3 linked regions of the Nothobranchius furzeri genome follow. The protein of the gene in region 1 interacts with the protein of each later gene in a pairwise test. Links are inferred from orthologs where the notes say so. Each region holds a gene or a part of one and is shown on either strand. Other genes may lie near its edges.

Region 1 (3,657 bases):
CCTTAATGGCTCTACGTGTGTGTGTGTGTGTGTGTGTGTGTGTGAGTGTGTGTGTGTGTGTGTGTGTGTGTGTGTGTGTGTGTGTGTGTGTGTGTGTGTGTGTGTGTGTGTGTGTGTGTGTGTGTGCGTGCGCACGCGCGCGCGCGTGCACACGCTGTTACCCTAAAGGTTATGGTGGCAAAAGACATAAAATAAAAACACAACAGAGAGCAAAGACCTGATACATAATAAATCTGTGCACGGACATTCAAACCTGACAAAAACTGATAATCATATCAACTAAACTACAGGATTGAAAATGATAATGATATAGAAACTGTTAAAGGTGCGGTTCAATCATTTAAGAAATACATTTGCACTGGTCTTTAGTAGGAATGAATGCCTTGTAAGTCGTACTCGGGGTACAAAAAGCCCTGGTGCGCCTGTTTCAGGACGACTGCCAGACCCAAGTAGAGCTTCAGACGGCAGGATTTGGAGTATTCCTTCCTGAAATTTGAAAGTCTCACCTCTGACTGGCTAATAGCAACTCTACCGCTGACTCCATTTACAACCTTGATGTTTTATCTCCACAAATAACACAAGCCTGGAGGATTCCTGCCATGTGGTGGAGTTGCTAATGCTAATGGTTAGCTTCTACTAGCAGAGACGTTCTCGGCTGTTTCCTGGACGCTAAACCAACAGCCTTCCCCGTCGTGAGTAAAGATGGGTGAGTCTATCAATGTTAATTAACAGTGTGACGTAGATCTGTCAGGATTTTCTAATCCTAGAGTTTCACCGTCTGTTTTCTATCAGAAGCTAACGCAGGAGATAGGTGTAGGAGACTATTTTCTTGTTCAACCTGCATGAAAAACTCAGAGTGACCAAATATAATCAGAAATAATCACTATAAAGGTTTTTTCAGTGATCCACACCTTTAAAAAAAAGTCCAATGAACTCTGTATTGCTCTTGTGTTTTCTGCGGTTTGGGATGCGTGCTGTCGTTCCAGCTAACTGAATCTGCATCATTTGATGTGATACAGATTTTCTGAGCAATTCTAGATATTAAATCCAATATTAATTAGACAAAAATCAAATAAAAAGGCAGAAAATACTTAACCAGTCTGAAATGTTACCACACTGCGACCAGATGGTTGTGGTGATCTCACTAACATCCAGTCTGGGTCATTTTTGACCTTTCTTGTTCTGGCTAAATGAAAGAGGTCTAAGAAAAACGCTCCTCTTGTAGGAAAAAGTTTCTGCAGTCAAGATGACCAGCCTGCCTGGGAGCGGCAAAGGTGAAAAAGGTGCTAAACGTGCAAATCTGGTCTTGTTTTAGAATTTATTTGCTAAAAGAAAAGCTTCTGTCAGTCTAAAAACAAAAGGCAAATATCTTTAATATTAACTTTATTTGATATTAAAACTGGGTTTATTAGTTGTAAATGGATGACTACATTATTATGACTAATTATAGATCATTTGGTAACACTTTACAATAAGGGTGCCTTTATTAATGTTACTTATTGCATTATTAAGCATGAATAAACTATTAAATAAAGTATTAACAGCTGCTTAATATTAATGTTATTATTAAGTAATGCATTCCTAAACAAACACCCCCTGGCCCTTTGTCCGAACCTAAAAGACATGGCGCAGTGGTTAGAGCTGCAGCGCGAAGGTCCTGGGTTCGATTCCCGGCCTGGGATCGTTCTGCATGGAGTTTGCATGTTCTCCCTGTGCATGCGTGGGTTCTCTCCGGGTACTCCGGCTTCCTCCCACAGTCCAAAAACGTGGTCTCTCTACATTGTCCTCAGGTGTGTGTGTGTGTGTGTGTGTGTGTGTGTGTGTGTGTGTGTGTGTGTGTGTGTGTGTGTGTGTGTGTGTGTGTGTGTGTGTGATTGTTTGTCCTGTGTGTCTCTGTGTTGCCCTACGATGGACTGGCTCTCTGTCCAGGGTGTACCCCGCCTACTTGCCCGTTGACTGCTGGAGATAGGCACCAGCCCCCCCGCGACCCTACGTGGACAAAGCGGGTTCAGAAGATGGATGGAATATCAGGAATTAAGTAAAGGGACACTTTGTTTATTAATGCACTAAGTAACGTTACTGTGAAGCGTTATCGATAATTTAGTGATTTCCCTTGAGTGAAGGGAGAAATCTTTCTGTTTTCAAACCTGGAAGCTTCTTAGCCCAGGCGATCATGTGGACCAGCTCCTTGTCAGCCATGCTGGTGAGCAGGGTCATCATGGTGACCTCGGTGTAGGGTCGGCTCAGCTTCTGACGGGAACAGAGAATTGGGGGCTCGGCACCCTGGAGCAAGAGGAGCACCTGGAGACGGAAAGAACAAACGTATCTATAAATGGAAAAGAAGACTTCTTGTTTTCTCCAGAGGAATCAGCACCTGCTCCGGAGGAAGACTGCTCATTGAAGATCTCCCTCCTCCACCCGGGCTGCTGTTGCTGCGTTTTCTCCCATCATGATGCGTTGCTGCTTTCTGCTCCACGCCTTTACCAACCTTGTCTCTGTCGCCGCCTCGTCTTTTGTCACGCCGCAGAACGCGACCCCGGTCTTTGCGCACACCTTGGAGACACAGCAGACAAACACGCTCAGAGTTGTCGAACCACAACATCTAGTTTGCAGATTACACAGATAGCTAAACGATTCGAGAGGTATGAAAACAAAAACGTTGATGCGTAGTAATCAGCACTCGTACTCCTTAAAAGCAAATCTTTTCAAGGTCTTGTTAAAGTTCATGTTTATCTGTTTCCACCAGCGCTCTGGTATTTATGCTATCGAGCACTGAGCAGAGCCAGGATGGACCAATTAGTTTTCAGCTATTATGAGAAGAATCTGATGATAAACTGCTAAAAATACTTAAACAATCAAAATTATGAGCCCAGAATTTAACAACAAATTTATAAAATTGCAAAAAAGAATAAAAGTGATGAAAAAAATCCATTAAGTTGGTTATTCTGCTCACCTCCTTTCATCATACCCACTTCGTAACACTTCCTTAGACGACAAGCTTGGCAGCTCTTCCTCCGATTCCTGTCAATAGTACACTGATTGGTCGCTGGGCACATATAGTCATTGTGACCTGAAAAGGAAGGAAATCTATTAGTTTTACTCTTTGAGTCCAATATCCAGCTCAGATTCAAGCTATTTGGCAGCCAGGAACACTCCATTCCCTACTCTAAATGGATCTAAGATGGAGAAAATTAAAACATAGCATCTTGGTTTTTGTTATTGCCATGGTGACTGTTGGTTTCCTCATGACCGTTCCTTTTGCTGGATCCAACAGAGGACGGTTCCCTGTGCTCACAGAGCCGTGGATGCTTAGAAGTCGCGTACAGAAGAAAACTAAAAGTTAACAAATGATTACTACGTTTTTTTATGACATGCATCTTCCCCTTTATGACAGCGACTCCACTTGGGTCTGACAGCTTATGTTTCATTCAAGGTTGCAGGTAATTCACCGCTGCATAATGAGACATGCAAACAGCCGACTGTGTAACTCGCAAAGCTCATTCTCATCTTCTCAGTAACAAATCTTCCCAGGTGCCTCTGATAAAACATCATGAAACACCTTCAGCTGACAGAAGGAGACAAGACTATTTATGGAGTTATTATAAGTATTGTGTGTTTTATGACTGATGCGATAAAGGAGGGTTAAGTCTGACAGTG
Region 2 (3,101 bases), on another chromosome or scaffold:
CAATATTCTAATTATCTGAGATTCTGAATGTGGGGGTTTCATAAGCTGTAAACCATAATCATCACAATTATAGCATAAAGACGTGAAATATCTGGCTTTGGATGGAACGAGTCTGCCTCGTATATTAGTTCCAGCTTTTAGGTTGAGTTCCTAAAATGAATCAACTTTGTCACCTTATTTTATTTTTTTAGTTTTACTTATATATATACATATATATATATATATATATATATATATATATATATATGTATATATATATATATATATATATACATATATATATATATATATATATGTATATATATATATATATATATATATATATATATATATATATATGTATATATATATATATATATATATATATATATATATATATATATATATATGTATATATATATATGTATATATATATATATATATATATATATATATATATATATATATATATATACATATATATAAAAGCTTATTAAACATTTTTGGATCCAGTTATATGACATTTAACAGCTTCTCATACACGCAGTACGTTGCTCGTGGCGCTGCAGTAGGTCTTCAGGAGACGTTTCCATTCAGCTGATTAGAAACAAGCTCCTCCTACTGAAGCAGCTTGTGTTTCCTCTGCTAAGTTTGGATCAAGGCTGTTAGGTAAACACAGGTAAAGCAAACAGTGAAAGAAGAAAGTGTTGGAAAATGAAGTCGAATACACATAAAATTAACAAAAATCTTTGTTTCATAATATTTGCGAGTTAAAGTTAATGTTTTTAACGGTTTAGATGGTGGTCTGCTATAAAGACTTTATTGCAGCGTTGCTCCTTGGTAGTTGTGTGATTCGTGTCGGTATGGGATGCTAACGAGCTGCAAGATCTGATGAACTGATTGAAATGTTTTTAGATGACGATGAGAGCAGCCGGACCAGCCAATCAGCAGCCAGCGGTTAGCGGAGCTCCGCCCAATCAGGTCACTCAGAGCGGACAGCCTCCGGGTTCCATACTTCGACTTCCGAACCCCGGAGCCAATCCACAGCTTCGCAGCCTCCTCCTGAGTCAACAGCAGCCAGTAAGAACAGCTGCTGGAGTTTACTTCTTTGTTTTGAGTCATGATTTTTTTACTCTGCGCTTCTACGGGCGAAGTTAACGCTCCGCTTATGTCTCTGTGTCCTTGCAGCAGAATGCGGTGTCTCACATGCCAAACATGATGTCCCATCAAGGCTTAGGACAGCAGCTGGTCCACTCGGCACCAGGAGGGGGGGCTCAAATGCAAGGCCAGTGGAGGCAGCCGATGACAGGTCAGCAGTTCAATTAAGATTTTTCTGCTTCAGTTGCAGAAAGATTTCTTCTTCTTTTTTATAATCTTTGGTTATTTTTATCGCTCCGTTTGCTCCACATATACTTTACTGGTCGCATAATCCTAATATACTCATGAACTGTAAAAGCTGTATTAGTACTGGTTTGTTTATATACAGATTTAAACATCAAAGCAGCCAATCTAGCTGCCAGGTTGGTTTATGTCACGTAGGGTTGGGCGATACGGCCTGAAATCAATATCACGACATATTGAGCATTTCACCTCGATAACGATAAATGGACGATAACTACAGGTATGCACAGAAACTTAAGTAGTCCACTAGATGGGACTGTCACGTGTGTTACGTTGAGTCACATTTTTAAGGTGATACAGCTTCTTAAAGGGACCTGAACGTTGCCAACCCACACACATCTTTTCATTTTTTATTATCAAATGTATTGACATGGGAAGAATTTTGATAATGATACATTTTCCATTTACTGCCCATCCCTATAATGTGGTTTGGCTGATGATTAGCTACATAGTTTTATTAATAAAAATTGTTAGAACAAAGAAAATCAAAACACTATGAAAGATCTTTTCTGCTACAGTTCGGTTATATTCTGTTAAAATTATCATTTAATTATTTATTATTTTAGCATCTTTTGTAAATGGGGCAGTAGACGCATCTTCAATAAAAGAAGCCTTTAATAAATTCTTGTGTTTGTTAGGGATGGACGTTCAGGCAGCAGAGGAAATCCTCGCAGGTCAAAAGCTGGTTTAAAAATCCTTGAACATATTTAACGCACCATGTCATGAGTAAAACTCTGGGTGTTACGCGATACAAGCGGGGCTTTTGAAAGAATTGTTTGTGTTTTTCTGTGCAGGTCAGATGCTGATGTCCGGAGGTCAGAGGGGACCCGTGCCCCAGCCCGGGATGTCCCAAGTCTCCAGTGTGATAGAGGAGGAAATGCTCATGGACCTGCTCTGACCAAGCGTGGTGGACTCTGTAATATAATTTCTCGTCAGTTCCGAGCAGCAGTTCTGGGCTCATAGATCTGTTATTTCTTTTATTTTTGTTTTTGCTACAAATATTTGATATAAGTAAGAAATAAATCATGTATTTTCAGGCTTTTGAACATCAGCTCTCAGCTTGAGTTAACTAGGAACTTGAAAGTGTGTGTGTGTGTGCGTGCGTGCGTGCGTGCGTGAGTGTGTGTGTGTGTGTGTTATTTTTCTTTCATGTAAGTGGTCTAAAAGTGGGCCGCGGATCCTTTGTTCTACCAGCTGGACCGGACCATGGAGAACGGTCCATTAAGTCTCTATAAACTCAACTCATCTACAAGTTTTACATCCCAACATTAAAGTGAAAACTGCTGTTTAGTTCTCTTTTATTTAAAATGTTTGTTTTTGTCCTTTTGATCAAGGTGAAATAAAAATTTCTGTAATTTCTTTGTTTAATTATTCATCAAATTAGTTTGAGAATCAAATGATTGAATGAATCTGGATAACGGAGCAGAGACTCGGTCTGCTCTCTGCAGCGCCGTGCCGGTCTTCACGCTAAGCCTCCACGCTCCTGCTGCTTGTGCTCTAAAGGTAAGGATGGATACTGAAATAGGCACAGTAACAAAGAGTTCAGTGTCTGTTTCTGCCAAACAGTGTTAATTTTAACTACTCCCAATATGTCGAGGAACCATAGAGGGCCGTGCTGTGCCAAGTAGTTCTACCAGATGGCATCAGTTGGCTGCGTTTCCATTGGCATAATGTACGATAAGGGTGGCTGCATGTGCACGTGCTACACACTTCATATATGT
Region 3 (4,223 bases), on another chromosome or scaffold:
AGCCAGAAGGAAAGATGGTGTCTAATATGGCATCCCCCAAAGACGACCTGCACCCTATATACCCGATTTTTATGGTTATATGGTACCATGCCGCTAACATTTTTCAACAACTGGACATCATTTTATTAATTTTCAATAATGTTTAAAGGGATATTTCCAGAGATTAACGGCAAGAACAACCCATTAGCTACATTTACATGCGCCAAATTTCCCCCATCCAATTCAAATTTTGGTTGTTCAGAAATCCCAAATCTCTGTTTACATGGACACTAACTGAAATTATCCGATGCTTTAGATTTTACCTATCACTTTAACTAAGCTAGGCTCAGCGGTACGTAACACCATTTCCTCCACAGAAGAGGGGAGCAGGATAACTTCTGTTCGCCTCCTGTCATGTTTTTGACTTGTCCTGAGCGTCTGCAGAAGCGGAAAAATGTCACGCCAAAGTTGCACACATGCTCAGTGGGCATTACCCCAAGAATCCAAATGAGTGTACATGGACGTCAATTGGAGTGTTGATTGGACAAAATCACCTATCTCAATGGAATTTCATTCCAAATGAGCTGTATCGGATCAGAATATTCCAATTGACATGTTTACGTGAATAATCTTTGATCTTATAGGGCATTCATTCCGATTACTTGTCCCCATGTAAACATAGCTATTGTCTCTTTAAGTCAAACTTACATCGAACCAACTCAAATATAGGCTACATGCAAAAATCTTTGCCATTTTCTTTTATTTCAAAAAAGTATGTGACATTTCTTACTGATACTTCATGGCTATTGTAGGCTTTTTTTTGTCCATTCCCTTGCCAAAAATGTAATTTTGCAATGCTGCAGCTCTCTCAACCGTATTATTTATTTATTTATTTATTTATTTATTTATTTATTTATTTATTTATTTATTTATTTATTTATTTATTCCAAAACACTTTTTTTTAAAACATTCAGGTGGCTGTTATAGCACTCTTAATCAAACCTGGATTGAGAATCTGAAAAAGAGTTTTGGTGAAATAATTGTAACTTGAGCCAACGTTGGGGGATGGGTGGTGTCATAGTTTTCTACAGTCACTGGTTTATGTCTTGTGTTATGGTTATTACATCCTGTTGCAACTGGTCAGAGCTGAAGAACAGATTCAACCCACAAAACGCAAAAAAACAAACAAACAGTGGCATTCTGTTTCAGAAAAACAGTTAAATCTGAAAGGTTGTTGTATTTATCTTGTTGCATAACAAAACACGATTGCGCTGTCGACTTGAAGCTAATATACGGTGTTTTATGTACCACAGGGACACTTCATACTTGCTCTTTTGCTTGTAAACGTGAGATTTTCGTCATCGAGAGTGATTGTTTTGAGTTGTTTTGTCACTTCTCTTAGGAAATACCCGGAAATACCCTAACCATTTCCAACAAAGGAATGGGAGGGAGGAGGGTCAGCCATTGACGTCAGCAGTCTGGCAACAGGCTCGAGCGCGTCCGCTTACCTCTCCTGTAATTGGTCGCTCGGAACGCATTCCCTACGTGATTGGTTGGCTCCGTGCGAGCACGGACTACATAGCTGTGGTGAAGATTCCATTTTGTTGCAATCAGAAACGGAAGGGAGAAGTGGCGTTTCGACGGCCACCGGTAACAGCACACAAGCCTCAAAGGGTGACGGATTTGTAGGAAACATAGACTTCTGTGCTTCCTACACAGTCCACGGAGTGAAATCAGAGGCTAACCACATAAATATTTTCAAAGAAAGGCTTTAACAACCAAGCCTGAGGAAGTCGGTAAGAGAAGCTGTTTTGAGTCTCGTCGCCATGTTGAGTTCCGTTTCTTTTGTTTTGGTTATGTGGCAAAATACAGCGATACGGATTGGGTAGCCGTTTGATTTGTGTTTCTAGCGTTTGTAAATGTGAAATTAGTTAACTAAAGTGCGACTTGCCATATTTTCATCGAACTTTATTAATCAAATTCATCGTAAGTGGTTGGAACAATGATTAATACTAAATGCGTTTTTATGCTATTTTGTGTTTATTTGTTCATTTTTATATCAATAAACCCTGAGAAGTTAGAAATAAGACGACGGGGTGTTGTTTTTGTCTTTGTCATGACGCATTGTGGCGTACACCATTGTTACAGCTAATTAATGCCTTGTTACATAATAAAGACGTGCGTAGCTTTTGTTTTGTATATTATTGTCGCTAGTTTGCGCATCTAAAAAACGCCTTTTCACGCATTTTTAAGGCTCTCGACTTCTTGGAGCATCGTGCGCCGAGGTGAATTGATGTTCAGCTCGGCTTCACGGGAAAACAACGCTCATTGGCACATGAAAACTTCAGACCTTGCTGGACTTCTAAGTGCAGCGAGAAGTAGACAGAGAGCTACTTCGAGGACCTGGGGACCGATCGGAGGTGAAAGATTAAAGAGGGATCTCAGCCACGTCCACTCTCTCACAACAAAGAGGTGAGAGCTGCCTGGCTGGGGGTGTTTTTGCTCTGGGTTGTGTGTGGGGGAGGGGCAGCGCAGCCCTGGACGTCTGCAGCTCCTGCACGTAGCTGCTGCAGCAGCTTGTTTTTTTGTGGAGGGTGCAGTGCAGAGTGCCTTTTACGCAATAACTTTTATTTTAAAAACGAAAATGGTAACGTTTTATAATTGTCTTGCAGGTGACAGGTAGTAGTGAAACATGGGAGGTGGAGAGAGGTACAACATTCCAATTTCCCACCCGGATCGCCCCAAAAAAGCCCATCAGCTTGGCAAGGCTAAGCAGAGAAGCCGTGACCAGAACGGAACCACAGCAGCATCTGTAGGAGGAACGGGGGCCCTTCACCACCACAGCCACCGTCGGAGCGACAAAGGCCCTGCCTACCACAGATCTCCAGAGGCATGGCAGGCCATGTCCTTGGAGAAGAATGCTTCTGTCCGGTTTGCCACCAACTACGAAAGCTGGGAGGGTGCAGTGTCTCATCTTAACACGCTCCTGTCAACCCAGGGCAGCCCGAGCTATGCAGGCCCTAAGTTCAGTGAGCCCCCCTCACCTAGCGTGTTGCCCAAACCCCCGAGTCACTGGGTGTCTTTCCCTATAGCGTCCTGTGACCACAGGGAGATGATGGCCTTCGAGCTCAAAAACCTGCTGAAGGTGCAGGCTTGAGCTGAGTACACACACTTCACCTAACTAGAGCCAATGCTTAGACTGTGACTCTGTTGAGGCATTTGCTCACCAGGAATGCCTCAAAGCTGTAATACACTTAACGTTTTAACAGACATCATCCGTAGCTAAACGTGGACATTTAAAGCAGTGAATTGACGTTGAGTCAATTTCTTTTAAATAGACTTTTAAGCTATTACAGCTTTGCTGCCTTGTTGGTTGGGCATGCCTTAAATGGAGCCAGTTTTTGTAAAACGACGACAAACTGGATTCTTTTTACCTTTTTTTTGTTTTGTTCTTTTTAGAGTTGGCTGTCCGAGCAGATTGAGTGTTCTTTTTTCCCCCCCAAATAGGGGTTGAACTATAGGTCAGGTGACATCCATTACTTTTATGGTCCATTTCTGTGGGCAGCTGAGCTACTTCACTGGTTTTGGTTTTAAGGTTAAAGTCTTTGGAGGGACTTCCAAAGTTTCGGGTGCTAAAGCGAGTTCATGTTTGTAGCATTTTTTTAAGAGCCCCCCCCCTTTTTCTTAGCTAATATATATACCTTGTTTGGAACGAAAAAAGGCACTCAACTGTAGTTCTGCAGGGAAAAATGATATTCTATTGAACGTGAGCTGGTGGATACGGTGAAAGCCTGACCTCGAAGGCTTGAACGAGACCATAGCACATGGACTTCAGACCACCAACTCCTGTATCCCTTTTTTATTGCGCTGTGCGCACACGCACTATAGGAGTTGAGTGTGCCTGAAGTCCGCAACACTATCACAGCATTATTTTGTACAAGTCCTTTTTGATGTGATTGAAAGATATGTGAAGCGCTGGGTAACCAAAGCTTTTTTTTTGTTGACGGCCCCCGTGTGGTTGGCGTGATTCCCACTCCTTTTCTCTTGCCAGCCCCGGCGGTGAATGGGTTAGCATTCCCTAAACATTCGTCTGTTTCGATCAGTACTGTTACTGCCCTTCAGTCTCTGCCTCATCACGACGGTGGCGCAGCTCCCAACGCGCGGAAGAGGGCCTCGTTTTTACGACGGGGTCCAGTTGGGTGCGCGCACGTCTGAGGTGAGGTAGAACCCAGGAGCTTTTCTAG

Evidence for each region.
Region 2: the proteins of esr1 (region 1) and med25 interact in a two-hybrid assay, tested with the Homo sapiens proteins (2 studies listed by BioGRID). The link is inferred for Nothobranchius furzeri from reciprocal best matches to the Homo sapiens genes ESR1 and MED25.
Region 3: the proteins of esr1 (region 1) and pnrc2 interact in a two-hybrid assay, tested with the Homo sapiens proteins (2 studies listed by BioGRID and IntAct). The link is inferred for Nothobranchius furzeri from reciprocal best matches to the Homo sapiens genes ESR1 and PNRC2.

Annotation. Positions count from the first base shown.
Region 1 is NC_091742.1:2,861,525-2,865,181, forward strand, and holds part of esr1 (estrogen receptor), read right to left. Parts: intron 3,071-3,657; coding exon 2,954-3,070; intron 2,554-2,953; coding exon 2,375-2,553; intron 2,302-2,374; coding exon 2,148-2,301; intron 1-2,147.
Region 2 is NC_091745.1:8,252,950-8,256,050, reverse strand, and holds the end of med25 (mediator of RNA polymerase II transcription subunit 25), read left to right. Parts: intron 1-894; coding exon 895-1,059; intron 1,060-1,167; coding exon 1,168-1,288; intron 1,289-2,018; coding exon 2,019-2,054; intron 2,055-2,174; coding exon 2,175-2,278; 3' UTR 2,279-2,461; downstream 2,462-3,101. UniProt on the Homo sapiens protein: Component of the Mediator complex, a coactivator involved in the regulated transcription of nearly all RNA polymerase II-dependent genes.
Region 3 is NC_091745.1:69,954,668-69,958,890, reverse strand, and holds pnrc2 (proline-rich nuclear receptor coactivator 2), read left to right. Parts: upstream 1-1,587; 5' UTR 1,588-1,775; intron 1,776-2,232; 5' UTR 2,233-2,451; intron 2,452-2,651; 5' UTR 2,652-2,671; coding exon 2,672-3,136; 3' UTR 3,137-3,677; downstream 3,678-4,223. UniProt on the Homo sapiens protein: Involved in nonsense-mediated mRNA decay (NMD) by acting as a bridge between the mRNA decapping complex and the NMD machinery. May act by targeting the NMD machinery to the P-body and recruiting the decapping machinery to aberrant mRNAs.